Xenopus tropicalis: one gene and its partners. The protein of the gene in region 2 purifies or fractionates together with the protein of the main gene of each other region. This does not show direct contact. Links are inferred from orthologs where the notes say so. Each region holds a gene or a part of one and is shown on either strand. Other genes may lie near its edges.

Region 1 (5,079 bases), on a different chromosome or scaffold from region 2:
TGCCAGTTAGGGAATAAACACAGGCCGAGAGTCAGTCCCTTGTGGCATCAGCCTTGCTGTCCCTTTGGGCCGCCCATACAGAAATGTCCCTGGAGGAGAGGTGGATTTTTATCACTTATAGAGCTGAAGCTCTCAGAGTTGGAATTTGAACTGCAGACTGTTTGCTGGGGCTGTAATTAGAGTAGAGAGATAATGCAGCCATAACACCATAAATAAGGAATGAATCGTGCGTATTGTAGGCCTATCTGTATCAGACTAAGGGTAATGGCACATTGGGCAATTCCACCTGCCGTATTCACCGACTGCAAACTCCACTTGTGATTTTTTTTTTTTTCTTTAAAGGTTAAATTTCTCCACTTCTCATTTTTACACAGCGTTTTAATGACCATTTATTTCTGAAATGTTGTTCTGCCTTTCCTGTGTCACTGTGTCTTTGGGTGATTCTCCGCTGTGCTATGATTGTGCTACTCCCTGACTTACTCCACTGTGAAAATGTCATAAAATGCAGTTTGCTCCTTTTTTGTCAAAAAGACAAATTCACTTTAAATTGCTTGTGAATATGGTTTAGGAGGTTATGGTTCAAAGTAGAGGAAGAAACATTTGCACACTGTCCCACAAAGGCTCCAAATAAAGTGACCGTCTGTAGAAGATGTTGTGCAACTTCAGCATAGCACAGTTCCTTTTTTAAATTTGTGTCTTTGGGAATACGGAGAATGCATTTACATCTGTTTTACCATCACTTTTAGCCCCCCCAGAACAGACTTTTTCCACTTTTTGTGAATCCCCCCTTGGAATTGCACCATATACCATTTCTCTAACACATAACAGTCCCCTCTTGTGGTTTTTTTGCTTGCATGCTCTCCCTTTTCCTGTTCTTTTAATCTCCAGTTCTCTAATAGTATTTCCCGCTAGCCACAGCTCTCCCTCTGTGTGTTTTCTGCCCTTGAGTTTAATGGCGTTCGATTTCCGTAGGTGGTTTTTCGGTAAAATCCCCCGTGCCAAAGCAGAGGAGATGCTTGGAAAGCAGAGACACGATGGTGCCTTTCTGATCCGAGAGAGTGAAAGTGCTCCTGGAGATTTCTCCTTATCAGTCAAGTGAGTGTTTTTCTTATGGGGATCTGTATTTTTTTTGGCAGTGCGGTCATGAATAGGGCCTGTTCCCCTTTACAATAACTTTTAGTATGACATAGACATTAATATTCTGAGACAATTTGCAATTAATTTTCATTTTTTATGGTTTTTCAGTTTCTCAGCTTTTCGTTCAGCAGCTCTCTGCTTGCTAGGGTCTTGTTTACCTTAGCAACCAGGCAGAGGTTTCCGTGAGAGACTGGAATATGAATAGGAAAGGGACTGAATAGAAGGATAAGGAATAAAAAGTAACAATAATAAAATTGCAAGCTCACGGAGCAATAGATTTTTGGCTGCCGGGGTCAGTGACCCCCATTTGAAAGCTGGAAAGATGTAGAAGAGATAATAAAATAAAACTTAAAAAAATAATGAAGATCAATTGCAAAGTTGTAAGGAATAGGGCCATCTATAACATACTAAAAGTTACCTTAAACTTTAAGGAGCATCTGTAAAAATTCACCCATCTTCTTCAGATTCGGCAATGACGTGCAGCACTTCAAGGTCCTACGGGATGGAGCCGGCAAGTATTTCCTGTGGGTGGTAAAGTTCAACTCGCTGAATGAGCTGGTGGACTACCACAGGTCCACATCCGTGTCTAGGAACCAGCAGATCTTCCTACGAGACATCGAGCAGGTTCCACAGGTACACGGGGGAGACAGAGCCACGAATTTGCTACAGGTATATAGAGGGGAGGGACAGGCAAGAGACTGTGCTTTGGATAGAAGCGCGGTGCATTTATACAGCTTTGTGTGGGATATAATGTATCTCGTTACTAAAGAGGAACAAAATCTCATCTTCTCTGATAACATTGGGCCTTTTCTCACATTTCCCACCTACCTTCCTGCCTGTCTGGTGTGGCTATTTGGGTTCTGTCTGTGTATAACTAGGGTGCTTTGTGGTGCATATATATTTCTGCTTGTAGGAATGTTGTGCTATGTATAATAGGTGCATGCAGAATGAGGGAGGGGTATCCTGTGTTATTAAGGCTAAGCCCCCCTGACATGTCGATCTTTAACCTCACCGCAGCAACCGACCTATGTGCAGGCGCTATTTGACTTTGACCCACAAGAAGATGGTGAACTTGGATTCCGACGAGGAGACTTCATCCAAGTTGTAGACAACTCCGACCCCAACTGGTGGAAGGGGACATGCCTCGGCCAAACTGGCATGTTCCCACGCAACTACGTGACACCCGTTAACCGTAACATGTAACCAGAGTCGGCAAGGAACCAGTGGCCAAGGAGGAGCACAGGCAGACTGATCTGGGAGGCATTTCGGACTGACTGAGCGACCAAAGGGAGAGAAAATCTTTACCCGGGGGAAGCCAAGACAGACTGACCAAGACAGACAGATGACTGTCTAAATGCAGCCCCGCACACCAGCAAGGACAGTTTGCCCCGGGATTGTCATAAATACTCAATAACAGGATAGAAACATGGATAGATCATTAACTTGGGGGGGGTGGGTGGGGGGACATAGACATATATTGTAAGAATGCTTATGTTTTGACTGCCTCAATCTGGTTGGCTGCTGCCCTTTGACTGACAGATGACAGCATTGCAGAATAGCGCAGGGGGCGAGGGTGGGAATGGTACGCATTCAGTATAGCTCAAACCCAACTCTATAGACCGACAGACTCGACTGTATCGCAGATGTTATTGCTTCCTGGGCCTGGATCTGAGACGGCGATCCCACAAGTCTGGCTGTGCTTTGTGCAGCCGCCACGCACGCTTTCCACAAGGTGAACCCCTTGGCCCAACGTTGAACTTTTTTTTGGGTGGGAGGGCGAAGGGTCCGACCGACTCTCGAGGGGAAGGGGATGGGCGATTGTTGATGTTTGATTAAGAATGCCAAAACTTACCTTTAAATTAAAACAAAAACAAGAGACTTTTTTTTTTAATTAACAAACTCCCTTTACTGCTGCTGTTTCTTCCCCACGTCCCATTCCTGTTTCACCCCCCCCATCCTTATCATGCATGTGTTAGCCAAGCACTAAGTACACACGCCTTGGAAAATAAAATGCGCAGAAGTGAGAGCTGCCATATCCACTCATTTTCTCTCTATGCAAGTCTGGTTCTGCTGGTTTGATTGTAAGGGGCCACAAACTCTATCCCCCCCGTTTTTCTGGAGTAGGGAGCCCCCCCAAATAAACAAGGTTGGTGGGGGGTGGAGCGGTAGCTGGCACATATATGCCTGTCTAGCCTGGTGTCTGTTCAGCTGACCGGCCTCAGGCATCTTTACATGATATTGACATTTTGTATCTCACTCCCACAGTACAGACAGCAGTTGGCCTAATCTACTATTCTATGGTTCTGTCATTTAACACAAGTACTGGCAGGAAAATACGTTTGGGATTGGGGCTGGGAGGGGGCCAGCAGGGATCTGGCAGGGTATTGGTTATAACCTAGGGTTTTGAACGACAAGAGGCAAAGGACACTTTTAATATCACACAATTATTTCAATTTCTGTGAGGTTGCTAGGGGAATTCACCCTAACAACCTGGCAGTGGTTTGACTGACCGGGTAGGAATGGCTTTATGCTTGGCAGTAGCTTCAGAAGTGGTTCAGGGTAGAATGATGCAGAGAATCGGCCTCTGCCCACTATGTCTAGCTATCGGAGCAGTGGTTCCTGGCACGTGGGCCGATGTTCCAGCTTGCCCTGGTTGTTTAAAGGGAATTAAAAAGTATTAAAAATATAAATGATAATATGCCCTTTTAGCAAGCAAGCAAGTATAAAGTATAGCTTATATACAGCACAGAGTATTTATACTTATGTATTGGAGCTGCCATACTACTTGCCTCTCCTGCTGTATTCATAACCACACAGCATTGCTTATAGAACAGAGGAAAGCAATATGGCAGCTCCCATGTTATACCGCAATATTAAGAAAGGAGTGTTTTGTTCACGAAGCAAGCCATGCTCTGAGCATCTAAGTGCAATTAAATGAGAAAGTCATGCAAATAGGGTCTGTTTCCCGTTAAGTATTGAATTTTTAGCCATGTCCTCAAAACCCTACGGTGGTAACGTAAGTCCCTCACTGAGGACAGCTGGACTGCCTCTCTGGCCCCCTCCTCCTTGCCCCTCTGACTCTCGGTCCATCTTATCTGCTTCCTCCAGGTCATCGTGTATGGGGGGGCTTGGAATGCACTGGGACCATATGATTGTCTCTTCGGGGATCTGTGTGTATCCTGCAGCCTTGCAGATTGGTAACTTGTGTGTGTATATGAAACCAATCAAATCAGTGTTTAATTAAAGAACGGCTTCTGTATTTAATCCTCCAATGCAGCATTCAGTAGATAGATGTTAACTGTTAATAATAATAATAATAATAATAATAAATCTGGTGTTTTGTTCACCTGACTGTTGGTAAACAGGTTTCATTTCTTCATGGAAATCCGGCTATCCCACAGCCACCTCCCCTGCATATGGGATCCATACCATCACTGCCTGCCCAGCATTTGCTTTGTTATTGTGGGCTCATAACCAGCAAAAGGTTCTTATTGTAGGCACATATATAAGTGAATTAAAAGCTTATACTTGTCTTTGTATTCAGAATTGCAGATAAATCTATCCACTCTTTGTACAACCAAGCTGTTCCCATGTTTTAGGGCTTTGTCTTCTAAGGGCTGTGGCACACGGGGAGATTAGTCGCCCGCGACAAAACTCCCTGTTCGCAGGCGACTAATCTCCCCGAGTTGCCATCACCTGCCATCCCACCGGCGAAAATGTAAGTCGCCGGTGGGATGGCACACGCGGCGGCACGATTTCCCAAAATCGCCGAAAGCCTCGCGAGGCAACTTCGCCGATTTCCCGAAATCCCACCGGCGACTTACATTTTCACAGGTGATGGCAACTCGGGGAGATTAGTCGTGGGCGACTAATCTCCCCATGTGCCAGAGCCCTTAAAGGTATTGCTTGGCTGTGTGTGTGAGACTTTTATCACTTTCTGCT
Region 2 (6,267 bases):
TTGATAAAGAACCCTTGGGTGAGATGATAAAGGGATCATTGGATGAGTTGATAAGGAACCCTTGGGTGAGTTGATAAGGAACCCATGGGCGAGATGATGAAGGGACCATTTGATGAGTTGATAAGGAACTCTTGGGTGAGATGATGAAGGGACCTTTGGATAAGCTTATGAAGGAAACTTGGGTGAGCTAATGAAAAGACCTTTTGGATGAGAAGATGAAGTGAGCTGATGATTTTGTCCTTTTAAAGACACTCTTCACCTTTAAATCAACTTTAACTATCTTGGAGACAGTTTGCCATTAGTCTTCATTTTGTTTGTGGTTTCTAATCTGGCTAGAAGAAATCATTAATAATAATTAAGGACCTAATTGTCCTACAATAGCACAGACTGAAGTGAATTCCAGGGCAAACTACAGACTGGAGGTTGCACTCACCTAATAAGGGAGATATTTTTGCGCGGTACTTCCTTGAGGTCGCCGATAGAGGTGACCTTCCCGGCAAAACAATAGTTGGGGTTATAGTCCGTCATGATGGTGGAGGTTCGGACCTTGCTGAGCTTATAGTCCGGGCTCTGCAGCTCCATCTGTATGGCCTGTAGCTCCTGGTGCTTCTTTCGGTACACTGGGAACAGAGCACAATATACTCTTTATTCGGTGCAAACGGCCTAACGTGGGAGACTGTGGCCCTCAAGGAGATGTTTATGGACCCCCCCAGCCTGACTAATCAGCCTGTTTGACTGTAGTTGATCAATAGTTGCTGTTCTGTTACTGCTATGCCATTGGTCTCAGATGAAACGTGAACTGGAATAACCCAACGAATTCTCCTAAAGTGTTAATTGCAATGAAGTGGACAAGCCGGGCAACATATGTTCTGCTATAGCGAGAGGCGCTCTGCTGCCCGACGGCTGGCACCGGGAATGGGAGCCGCGCGGTGTAATTAATGATGGATCAATGCACCGTGGGTCCCCGGGGGGGGGGATGAGTTTGTAGACCAGATGTTAAAGGCTTTGATGGTTCATTCTGCCCCGTGGCACAACCAGCTGAACATGCAGAGCGTCTGGGCCGAGGTTGCTCTGCCTTCTGGATAGAAGTCTTTTCAATAACTCTTTCCCACAATTCTTAGCTGATCAATAACAACTAAACTTTGATTAGCGAGTTGGAATCCTGCGCTAAAGGAGTAATTCATCCCTTGAGGAGCAGGGAATTCAGTCGCGCCTCTGCATTGATTGGATTGAATTAGAAGTGATATTAATGTAAAGACTGTCAGCTCTGTGGGCCAGAGCCGGGTCACTCACCTATCATTATCCCAGAGAAAGCCAATATGAGAGCCGCCACCAGGGCCGACGTCACAATGGACAAAACCAGCGACAGTGGCAGATGCGTCTCCTGGGCCGGCGCCAACGCCTCATCTGCAAACCATAGTGACATCACCATGAGATAACCATAGCAACCAGACTGCAATATTCACTATTTAATCCTTCAATTGCTCTGCAAGGTAATAGGGTTTAGCATTGGCTGACTGCATAGGAGGGGAGGCTGTAAGGGACCATGGTGCCGGCATCATTACGTTATGTATGTAACTGGAGGAGTCCCAAGCCGGACTTGGATTTCTTACTATTGAGTGCTATTCTGATACCTACTGGGAGCTGCTATCTTGCTCCCTTCCCATTGTTCTGCTGATCGGCTGCTGGGGGTGAGGAGGGAGATATCACTCCAACTTGCAGCGCAGCAGTAAAGTGTGCCTGAGTCTGAGCTTTCAGCCAGCGCTACACATTAGAACTGCTTTCAGCTAACCTATTGTTTCTCCTACTCCCATGTAACTGGAGGAGTCCCAAGCCGGACTTGGATTTCTTACTATTGAGTGCTATTCTGATACCTACTGGGAGCTGCTATCTTGCTCCCTTCCCATTGTTCTGCTGATCGGCTGCTGGGGGTGAGGGGGGGGGGGATATCACTCCAACTTGCAGCGCAGCAGTAAAGTGTGCCTGAGTCTGAGCTTTCAGCCAGCGCTACACATTAGAACTGCTTTCAGCTAACCTATTGTTTCTCCTACTCCCATGTAACTGGAGGAGTCCCAAGCCGGACTTGGATTCCTTACTTGTTCCGCTGATCGGCTGCTGGGGGTGAGGGGGGGGGGATATCACTCCAACTTGCAGCGCAGCAGTAAAGTGTGCAGGCTCTGTACATATGTTCAATAGAGCTGTAACCGACTCACCAATACAGGAGACCCCATCCTCAGCCAGGACAGTGCCGCGCTCACATAGACAGACGATTCTCTTGCTCTCGGGATCCAGGAGACACTCGTCCATCTCGCAGTGACTGCAGTTCAGGTGCAGTTTGATCTCCACCTCCCCGTGTCCCTCTATCACTGCAAAAAGCCAGAAAGCGAGATGGGAAATGGAAACACCAGCAGCCAATAAGGGTGAGATACTTTGCAATTGGTCTTTTTTTTATTATTGGTAGCGACATTCATACAGGAATGTACAGATAATATACAGTTACCTTTTAAGGGAGGGGTGTAGACAACCCCCCGGGGGCTGATAAAGGACACGCCTTCCAGCCCATCCATTTCTGCACTGTTACCCTCAGCAGCGTTTCCTCCTGCGGACAGTGGGGGGGCAGAAGGGCAGAATTAGCCGTTATTTGTGCGCTGGTGCAACTAATAAAGGGCTCCCCTAGGGATGAGTCTGCGGCCATAAGTTTTCAGGGTCCTTTTTTTATTTCTTACCCCTCGGGTAAGTGTTGTTCTTGGGTTGTTCTCTTTCCCATGGTCAGGCAAAGGGGAGGGGCTTGGGCACAAACTGGTAGTTCCATTGTGTTGATGTCCTTAATGGAACTCATGCAAATGACCTCAAGCTTTTCTGCAATAGGATTTAAGCTTTAAACAAATTCAGCCCAATAGAGGAGACCCCCAATACCATCTATCCCCCCCCCAGGGTGTATCTACAGCAAATAACATGGCAGATACTCACCAATATATCCCCCTCCTCCGCCTCCTGAGGAACATCCCCCTCCGCCCCCTCCGAATCCACCTCTAGTCTCCCAGCCCCACTTCTTAACGGCCTGGGGGCAGGATTCTCCACCAATGGCGCCTTCCATTAGGGACTTGCCCGCCCACGGTAACGCAGTGTGATCATTCCATCCGCCACCGCCACCTATAAATTATAAAGGATTTCACTGGTGAATCAACAATTTACTTTTAAAAACAGTCAGTGGTTCGGTGAGGTATTGGCGGGGCTCTGGTGAGGTGTGGGCGGGGTCTGGTGAGGTGTGGGCGGGGTCTGGTGAGGTATGGGCGGGGTTCTGGTGAGGTATGGGCGGGGTTCTGGTGAGGTATGGGTGGGGTTCTGGTGAGGTATGGGCGGGGCTCTGTTGAGGTATGGGCGGGGCTCTGTTGAGGTATGGGCGGGGGTCTGGTGAAGTACGGGCGGGGGTCTGGTGAGGTATGGGCGGGGTTCTGGTGAGGTATGGGCGGGGCTCTGGTGAGGTATGGGTGGGGCTCTGGTGAGGTATGGGCGGGGCTCTGTTGAGGTATGGGCGGGGTTCTGGTGAAGTATGGGCGGGGGTCTGGTGAGGTATGGGTGTGGCTCTGGCGAGGTATGGGCGGGGTTCTGGTGAGGTATGGGTGGGGTTCTGGTGAGGTATGGGCGGGGCTCTGTTGAGGTATGGGCGGGGCTCTGTTGAGGTATGGGCGGGGGTCTGGTGAAGTACGGGCGGGGGTCTGGTGAGGTATGGGCGGGGTTCTGGCGAGGTATGGGCGGGGCTCTGGTGAGGTATGGGTGGGGCTCTGGTGAGGTATGGGTGGGGCTCTGGTGAGGTATGGACGGGGCTCTGTTGAGGTATGGGCGGGGTTCTGGTGAAGTATGGGCGGGGGTCTGGTGAGGTATGGGTGTGGCTCTGGCAAGGTATGGGCGGGGTTCTGGCGAGGTGTGGGTGGGGTTCTGGTGAGGTGTGGGCGGGGCTCTGGTGAGGTGTGGGCGGGGCTCTGGTGAGGTGTGGGCGGGGCTATGGTGAGGTGTGGGTGGGGTTTGAGTGGAACCAGAGATGGCCAGGGTTTCTGTACCTGCTGCCCCTGATTTGCCATTCATTCCCGGGATGGTGTAATTGCTCTCCAGTCTCTCGGGGGGGATTACACTGGCCTTGGAGCGATACGCCCTTCCGCCCCCCCCTGCCGCTATCAGCAATGGGACAGGCTTTCCACTCTCCATCTGTTATGGGGGATATAATAACAGGGGAACAAGAAATCAGTTAGAATGAATACAGCTTGCAGAACTACAACTCCCAGAATCCTCACCAAAATACACGTTTAAGTAACTCCCCAATGTACATTCATTGACATTATTGCTATTTAGCAATTCAGCTCTCCTCCAATCAGTACCTTTATTTACAGGGTGCAAGGCATTGTGGGATACAGAGGCTTGGCTGGCAGGAAAGTGGCCTTTACTCTCCTTTGCCCTCGGTTCTTTCTCTCATAAGAGCTTATTGAAGTTGCTTTGTGCAAAAACAATATTATTTTACCTTGAAGACGTATGTTGCTCCGCCTCCGCCGCCTCCTCCTCCCGCCCACTCGCTCACACTGCCGTTAATCCGCAATTCATCCTCAATCTCAGTGTTTTCCCCAATACAAACCATCTGCAGCACAGAATTGGCCTATGGAGACAGAGACAGTTCCTCAGTGGGTTCCTCAGAGGGGTTGGATGGTTTCCCCCATAGCGACCAATACACCCAGGGATGGAGCAACAGATGGAGCCAACAACTGCCGGGCCAGGGGTCTTGTCTGATCAACTGTTTCAAGGTCTCTGTGCAAAACGGCCAATGTGGGCTTGGGGCTTGGCCATCAGATTGGGCCCAGGAACTTCAAGTTCTAAACCATGTGATGGGATGGATCTGCCCATGGGAGAGGTGCCTTACGCAAAGGTACAGGGAGGCCCCCCAACCAGCACTTGTAACTGGGAAGAGTGGGGTGAAATGGAACAACATGATGGGAATAGTAGGGCAAGATGGCAGCAGTGGGAAACAAAACCAAGATGGAGTTAGTAGGACAAGACAGACAGAGTTTGGCAAGATGGCAACTGTAAGGCATGATGGTGACAGTAGAAGAAGATGAAGAAAGTAGTGCAAAATGGAGACAGTAGGGCAAGATGGAGACAGTAGGACAAGATGGAGACAGTAGGGCAAGATGGAGACAGTAGGACAAGATGGGGACAGTAGGGCAAGATGGAGACAGTACGGCAAGATGGAGACAGTAGGACAAGATGGAGACAGTAGGACAAGATGGAGACAGTAGGACAAGATGGGGACAGTAGGGCAAGATGGAGACAGTACGGCAAGATGGAGACAGTAGGACAAGATGGAGACAGTAAGACAAGATGGGGACAGTAGGGCAAGATGGAGACAGTAGGGCAAGATGGAGACAGTAGGACAAGATGGAGACAGTAGGGCAAGATGGAGACAGTAGGGCAAGATGGAGACAGTAGGACAAGAGGGAGACAGTAGGGCAAGAGGGAGACAGTAGGGCAAGATGGAGACAGTAGGGCAAGAGGGAGACAGTAGGGCAAGATGGAGACAGTAGGGCAAGATGGAGAGTGAAGCTTCCAGGGCATGCTGGGAATTGTAGTCACTTGGCATGGGAAGGCTTTTCTCTTGCAGTTACTTGCCTCTCCCATAGGAATGAATGAGGGGACAGCAGAAAGTCAGACCCGGGGGGGTGGGGGCTGAACTGCACAAATCACAATGACATTATGAGAATGACCTTCATACAGGCCGTATATTGCTCAATTGCTGATTATAATCCAATTAAGTAGGTACATGCCTGCATAATTGCACGAAGCTTAATGACTTCATCAGCCAATTAATTTGCACTTGAACTTCGTTCTGCAAGTTAATGAGCTTCTGATGAACAAAATAAACCACAAAAATAAACGATACTGAGTAACAAGCCATGAACGTCTGGCTTTGATCCACCGCTTACTATGGAGCTGAACTAAGCAGGGGCCGGCCTACAGTGGTCACGTGACTATGGGAAGCCCCTGTTTTCCAGACATATCCCATATTATACATATTACATGCAACACTGATACTGAGTGACTAAAGTGTTGGGCTGGGCCTTCTAGAACCCACCACAAAACCTGAAATCCAGGGCCCACCGGAAATAAGATTTGGGCAAATTAATAGGATTCTGATGAGACTTGGCCTATCTGGCTCCTCGGGGGCAGGGAGACCCTTAATATATATTAATAATACAGTGATTGTTTTAGTTGTAGCCCTGC
Region 3 (4,883 bases), on a different chromosome or scaffold from region 2:
CATGTCGGTACCATTAGTGCCCATTGGGTCTAGGAGAGACTGACCCGCAGACATGTCGGTACCATTAGTGCCCATTGGGTCTAGGAGAGACTGACCCGCAGACATGTCGGTACCATTAGTGCCCATTGGGTTTAGGAGAGACTGACCCACAGACAAGTTGGTACCATTAACACAAGGTTGGGGGGGGGGGTAACAAATGCAGGTTACGAATGGAACGCACTCATGTCGAAGATGTCCCTCTGGCCGTTTGCTGCCCGCAGAGGCTGCCGAGACTTCTCCAGGTTCTGGACATTGACGTAGGAGGGGTCATCGAAGAGATCGGGCCGATTCGGAGGCCGACTGCAGGGGACTGGAAATCTCTCCCTGCCTACGGGGGACAAGACAGTGTGAGTAATGAACTACCCCCACCCCATGAAGGGTCTGTAGCTTGGGGACATTTAGGGGAACCAAAGGGAGGTATATGGTCCAAGTACAGTAACTAACAGGGGGAGGAGCTATACAGCCATCTCCAGTAGGACATGCAATGTGGGGCTGCACATTAGGCACACAGGCAGATGGTACACTGGCCACTAGTGGCTCCTACCTTGCACTGTCGGCTGTGGCTTCCTGGAATCCTGTTCGGCACCAGAGACCTGTCCCACGGGCTGTGGGAGAAAGGAAAAGCTCAGCCCGGATCATGTTTCCTACAGCACCCTCTCTTCCTCTCTCTGCCCATGAACTTACCAGGGTGGCACCCATGTGATTTGGGCTTTGCCTAGGAACTGCCGGTGCTACCCCATCTCGCAGCCGCATATCTACTACTCCCCCAATAGGGGGCTCTTTCCCTGGGAAATCATTGTAATAGGCATGGTCTGGGAGCTCCTCCTCTTCCTCATCCCACGCCGACCCATCAAAACCAGCCATTCTGCCGGGAGCACGCAAGGGGAAGAGACAAAAGTGAAATTCCCTGACTATTCCTCTTACTTACCCTTTATTTAATAATGAGAGGCACTTACCTGTCATGGGGGGTGACCAGTTTGGGGGGATTTTTGAGGTATTGTTTGAAGCGTAGTTCAAAGGCCTGTCCTATTGTGCTGATCACGTCCTGAGCAAGGCCTTCTGGGCACTCCAGGATATGGCAGGCTGTGAGAGAGCACAGATGTGGTGACTCCTCCTACTGCAAGCAGCAATGGCTATATATATATATATATATATATATATATATATCTCTTGTACCCACCTCTCTGATTGACTGGATCTTTGGCCACATAAGCGACATACTCAGCTGTATCCTAAGGGGAACAAGAGAACGGATTGCAGGACAAGAGAAGCCTGTATGAGCCCCGCCCCCCAACTCCTATCCATACATTAGCTCCGCCTATTTCATACACCATTAAGCTGGCCATACGTGCTCCTATATAACGGTATGAAACAAAGATTGTTCCATTATACCTACCATTGATATCCAAAGGTTCGCCGTATCATAGCTAAAACTCATCCCCCTCCCATATACAAACACCCTCCCCCTCCCTCCCATATACAAACCCAGGCACACAGCCCCAGCACTTACGGGATCTCCCCCAGAAGCAAATGATATTGACTGCATGTGGTGGTTGGCGATGATCTGTAATGGAGGAAGAGACAAAGGCTGCAATTATTATCAGATTCCCCCTCTGCTGGAACCCAGAGGCCTAGAATGGTAGCCAGCGTGGCCAACCTCAGCAGGGCTAGTAGGAGGTCACATGACAAGACCTGTACAACATGAGGGCTGGGGCCCAGGTGTCTCACCTGTTTGCAGTCGGAGGCCATGAGGTTGAGGCTGCTGGTGGAGACGGTCAGAGTGATTGGCATGCCGGCGAACTTCAGGTTGCTCTTCCCTAGGATGGAGTTTAAGGACCGCCCACAAGTCTTTGGGGGGGGGACATGGAGAGAAAGAGTTAGGTAGGACTGACCAATACAATGGGCAGTGCAGCAGGCCAGGTAGGTAGGTAGGTAGGTAGGAAGCAGCAGGAGAGAAGCCAGGGAGAGAGGGAGGCCAAGTAGGAAAACATCAAAAGTCCAAAGTGGTAAAAACCAGTGCAAGATGGTTATACCCAAACAGCTAGCGGCTGCACATTGGCACCTGTGGCACATTGTAACTATGCCCACACAGTATTCATTCTATGTAGGGTTGCACACACCATCCTGCTACAGAATATGGATGCTGCATGGCTGATGAGCTAGCAGTATGGCTGCACCCACACACGCTGCATGGCTGATGAGCTAGCAGTATGGCTGCACCCACACACGCTGCATGGCTCTAGCAGTGCTGCATGCATGGGCTAGGGGCAACCCCAATCTGAACATAAGGGGGATGGCGGTGCTCTTAATAGGGCTGCTACCCCCAAGCAGCGGGGGGGGCTGTGATCCAGTCATTGGCTACAAGGGAACCCCCCATTGGTATGGCAGTGCAGGAACTGCAGGGAGAGCTGACCGCTCTGTCCCACAGGCCACACCCATCCATTAGCAGATGGAGTCCAGACACAATCAGGGCATATTGATCTGCCTGCTTTCCTTTCATTAACCTAATGCCTCCCTCTCTCTTTAACTCTTCCTGCCCCACAGGGGAGAGGCCCTCATTAGGTATATATGTCAGTCGGTGCCTGATAAATGAAGGGTTGGGAGGCCGGGTGCTATTTGGGTACAGGAGGGATGCTGGGAGTTGTAGTACATTATCTGCAGAGTGTTCGGTTCATAGTTACCTTTCGCCGTCGCATTGCCCCCTTTGCTCCTGGAACAGCATCGCACACCAGGCTTATGGCTTCCCTGCGCAGAGAAAGGCACCATTAGGGTACATATAGCAGGGGCCCTGGGGCAGGACTCCCATTAGCCAGCGCCAAATTGCCTCTCACTTCTCCCAAATGCCAGGAATCATTCGGATGGGCACACACAGGCCCACTGGTGCAGGGCATTACAGAATGAGAGCCTGTGGGCCAATCACTGGGGGAAGGAGCAGCTGATCCTGCAGCAGTATTGGCCATACATCCCCCACTGACTTTGAACTATATTCCTGCACTGCTGTGGGTATTACCGACACCCCATGCTGTTATACCCACTCACAGGTTGTGCCAATGTGGCACCTAATGCCATACATGTCACAATGTTATTAATAGGATATGTAGGTACCAGCTGGCTACGCTCGTGTCTACTGGCCATTACGTACCTACAATTGTATCAATGGAATCACTTGGCTGCTCAGCTATAGAATACAATGTACCCTTGGGAGGTGGGAGAGGATGGGGTCCTACCTTGTGACTTGAGTCCGGGTGTTGAAGTCCAAGGCTCTCATTGACTGCAGAACTTCCACACAGCCCATGTACTGCAAGGCAAGAGCACAACATGGCATTAGTCACTCCCGGGGTTCTATGTAGGCACTGGGGCAGGTAGAAGTGACCCTATAAGGCCACACAGGGGCAGCAGGATATGTTGGGCAGCAGGATAGCAAGGAAGGAAAGGAGGGAAGCAGCCCAGGAAGCAGGGGATACACAGAGTGATTTATACAGGAAGTGATGTCACCACGGCAGGAGGAACCACGGGTACTAACATATATGTGTGCGTGTGTTGGGGAACAGCAGGGGCAGCTATGGATTTACTCACATGAGTAAGTTAGAGTCAAAAAGAACAAGCATTTTATGGCAGTACTACTGTGTGTGGCATGTACATGTGGGCATATGGGTACAGCTATACAGCAGTGTGAGTACGTGTGTATGGGGGCATATGGGTACAGCTATACAGCAGTGTGAGGACGTGTGTATGGGGGCATATGGGTACAGCTATACAGCAGTGTGAGTACGTGTGTATGGGGGCATATGGGTACAGCTATACAGCAGTGTGAGTACGTGTGTATGGGGGCATATGGGTACAGCTATACAGCAGTGTGAGTACGTGTGTATGGGGGCATATGGGTACAGCTATACAGCAGTGTGAGGACGTGTGTATGGGGGCATATGGGTACAGCTATACAGCAGTGTGAGTACGTGTGTATGGGGGCATATGGGTACAGCTATACAGCAGTGTGAGTACGTGTGTATGCGGTAGGGTAGGAGCATAGACAGCAGGTAGGAGTAGTGGGTAGAGGTTGGGACTAGAGGGTCGGAGCACAGACAGCAGGTAGGAGTAGAGGGTAGAGGTTGGGACTAGAGGGTAGGAGCATAGACAGCAGGTAGGAGTAGTGGGTAGAGGTTGGGACTAGAGGGTCGGAGCACAGACAGCAGGTAGGAGTAGAGGGTAGAGGTTGGGAGTAGAGGGTAGAGGTTGGGACTAGAGGGTAGGAGCATAGACAGCAGGTAGGAGTAGTGGGTAGAGGTTGGGACTAGAGGGTAGGGGCACAGACAGTAGGTAGGAGTAGAGGGTAGAGGTTGGGACTAGAGGGTAGGAGCACAGACAGCAGGTAGGAGTAGTGGGTAGAGGTTGGGACTAGAGGGTAGGGGCACAGACAGTAGGTAGGAGTAGAGGGTAGAGGTTGGGACTAGAGGGTAGGAGCACAGACAGCAGGTAGGAGTAGAGGGTAGATGTTGGGACTAGAGGGTAGGGGCACAGACAGCAGGTAGGAGTAGAGGGTAGAGGTTGGGACTAGAGGGTAGGGGCACAGACAGCAGGTAGGAGTAGAGGGTAGAGGTTGGGACTAGAGGGTAGGGGCACAGACAGCAGGTAGGAGTAGAGGGTAGAGGTTGGGACTAGAGGGTAGGAGCACAGACAGCAGGTAGGAGTAGAGGGTAGAGGTTGGGACTAGAGGGTAGGAGCACAGACAGCAGGTAGGAGTAGAGGGTAGAGGTTGGGAGTAGAGGGTAGAGGTTGGGACTAGAGGGTAGGAGCACAGACAGCAGGTAGGAGTAGTGGGTAGAGGTTGGGACTAGAGGGTAGGG

What was found. Proteins that work in one complex are often made in the same cells at the same time.
Region 1: the proteins of alk (region 2) and grb2 purify together in Homo sapiens (affinity purification with western blotting; 3 studies listed by BioGRID and IntAct, with this or other methods). This does not show direct contact. The link is inferred for Xenopus tropicalis from reciprocal best matches to the Homo sapiens genes ALK and GRB2.
Region 3: the proteins of alk (region 2) and shc1 purify together in Homo sapiens (affinity purification with mass spectrometry; 3 studies listed by BioGRID and IntAct, with this or other methods). This does not show direct contact. The link is inferred for Xenopus tropicalis from reciprocal best matches to the Homo sapiens genes ALK and SHC1.

What each region holds. Positions count from the first base shown.
Region 1 is NC_030686.2:44,448,878-44,453,956, reverse strand, and holds the end of grb2 (growth factor receptor-bound protein 2), read left to right. Parts: intron 1-972; coding exon 973-1,095; intron 1,096-1,601; coding exon 1,602-1,806; intron 1,807-2,154; coding exon 2,155-2,340; 3' UTR 2,341-3,196; downstream 3,197-5,079. UniProt on the Homo sapiens protein: Non-enzymatic adapter protein that plays a pivotal role in precisely regulated signaling cascades from cell surface receptors to cellular responses, including signaling transduction and gene expression.
Region 2 is NC_030681.2:6,145,658-6,151,924, forward strand, and holds part of alk (ALK tyrosine kinase receptor), read right to left. Parts: intron 4,649-6,267; coding exon 4,517-4,648; intron 4,207-4,516; coding exon 4,062-4,206; intron 3,154-4,061; coding exon 2,971-3,153; intron 2,600-2,970; coding exon 2,501-2,599; intron 2,367-2,500; coding exon 2,214-2,366; intron 1,408-2,213; coding exon 1,294-1,407; intron 621-1,293; coding exon 434-620; intron 1-433. UniProt on the Homo sapiens protein: Neuronal receptor tyrosine kinase that is essentially and transiently expressed in specific regions of the central and peripheral nervous systems and plays an important role in the genesis and differentiation of the nervous system.
Region 3 is NC_030684.2:145,087,372-145,092,254, reverse strand, and holds part of shc1 (SHC-transforming protein 1), read right to left. Parts: intron 3,338-4,883; coding exon 3,267-3,337; intron 2,785-3,266; coding exon 2,721-2,784; intron 1,888-2,720; coding exon 1,768-1,887; intron 1,604-1,767; coding exon 1,550-1,603; intron 1,272-1,549; coding exon 1,220-1,271; intron 1,123-1,219; coding exon 996-1,122; intron 905-995; coding exon 724-904; intron 645-723; coding exon 584-644; intron 368-583; coding exon 221-367; intron 1-220. UniProt on the Homo sapiens protein: Signaling adapter that couples activated growth factor receptors to signaling pathways. Participates in a signaling cascade initiated by activated KIT and KITLG/SCF.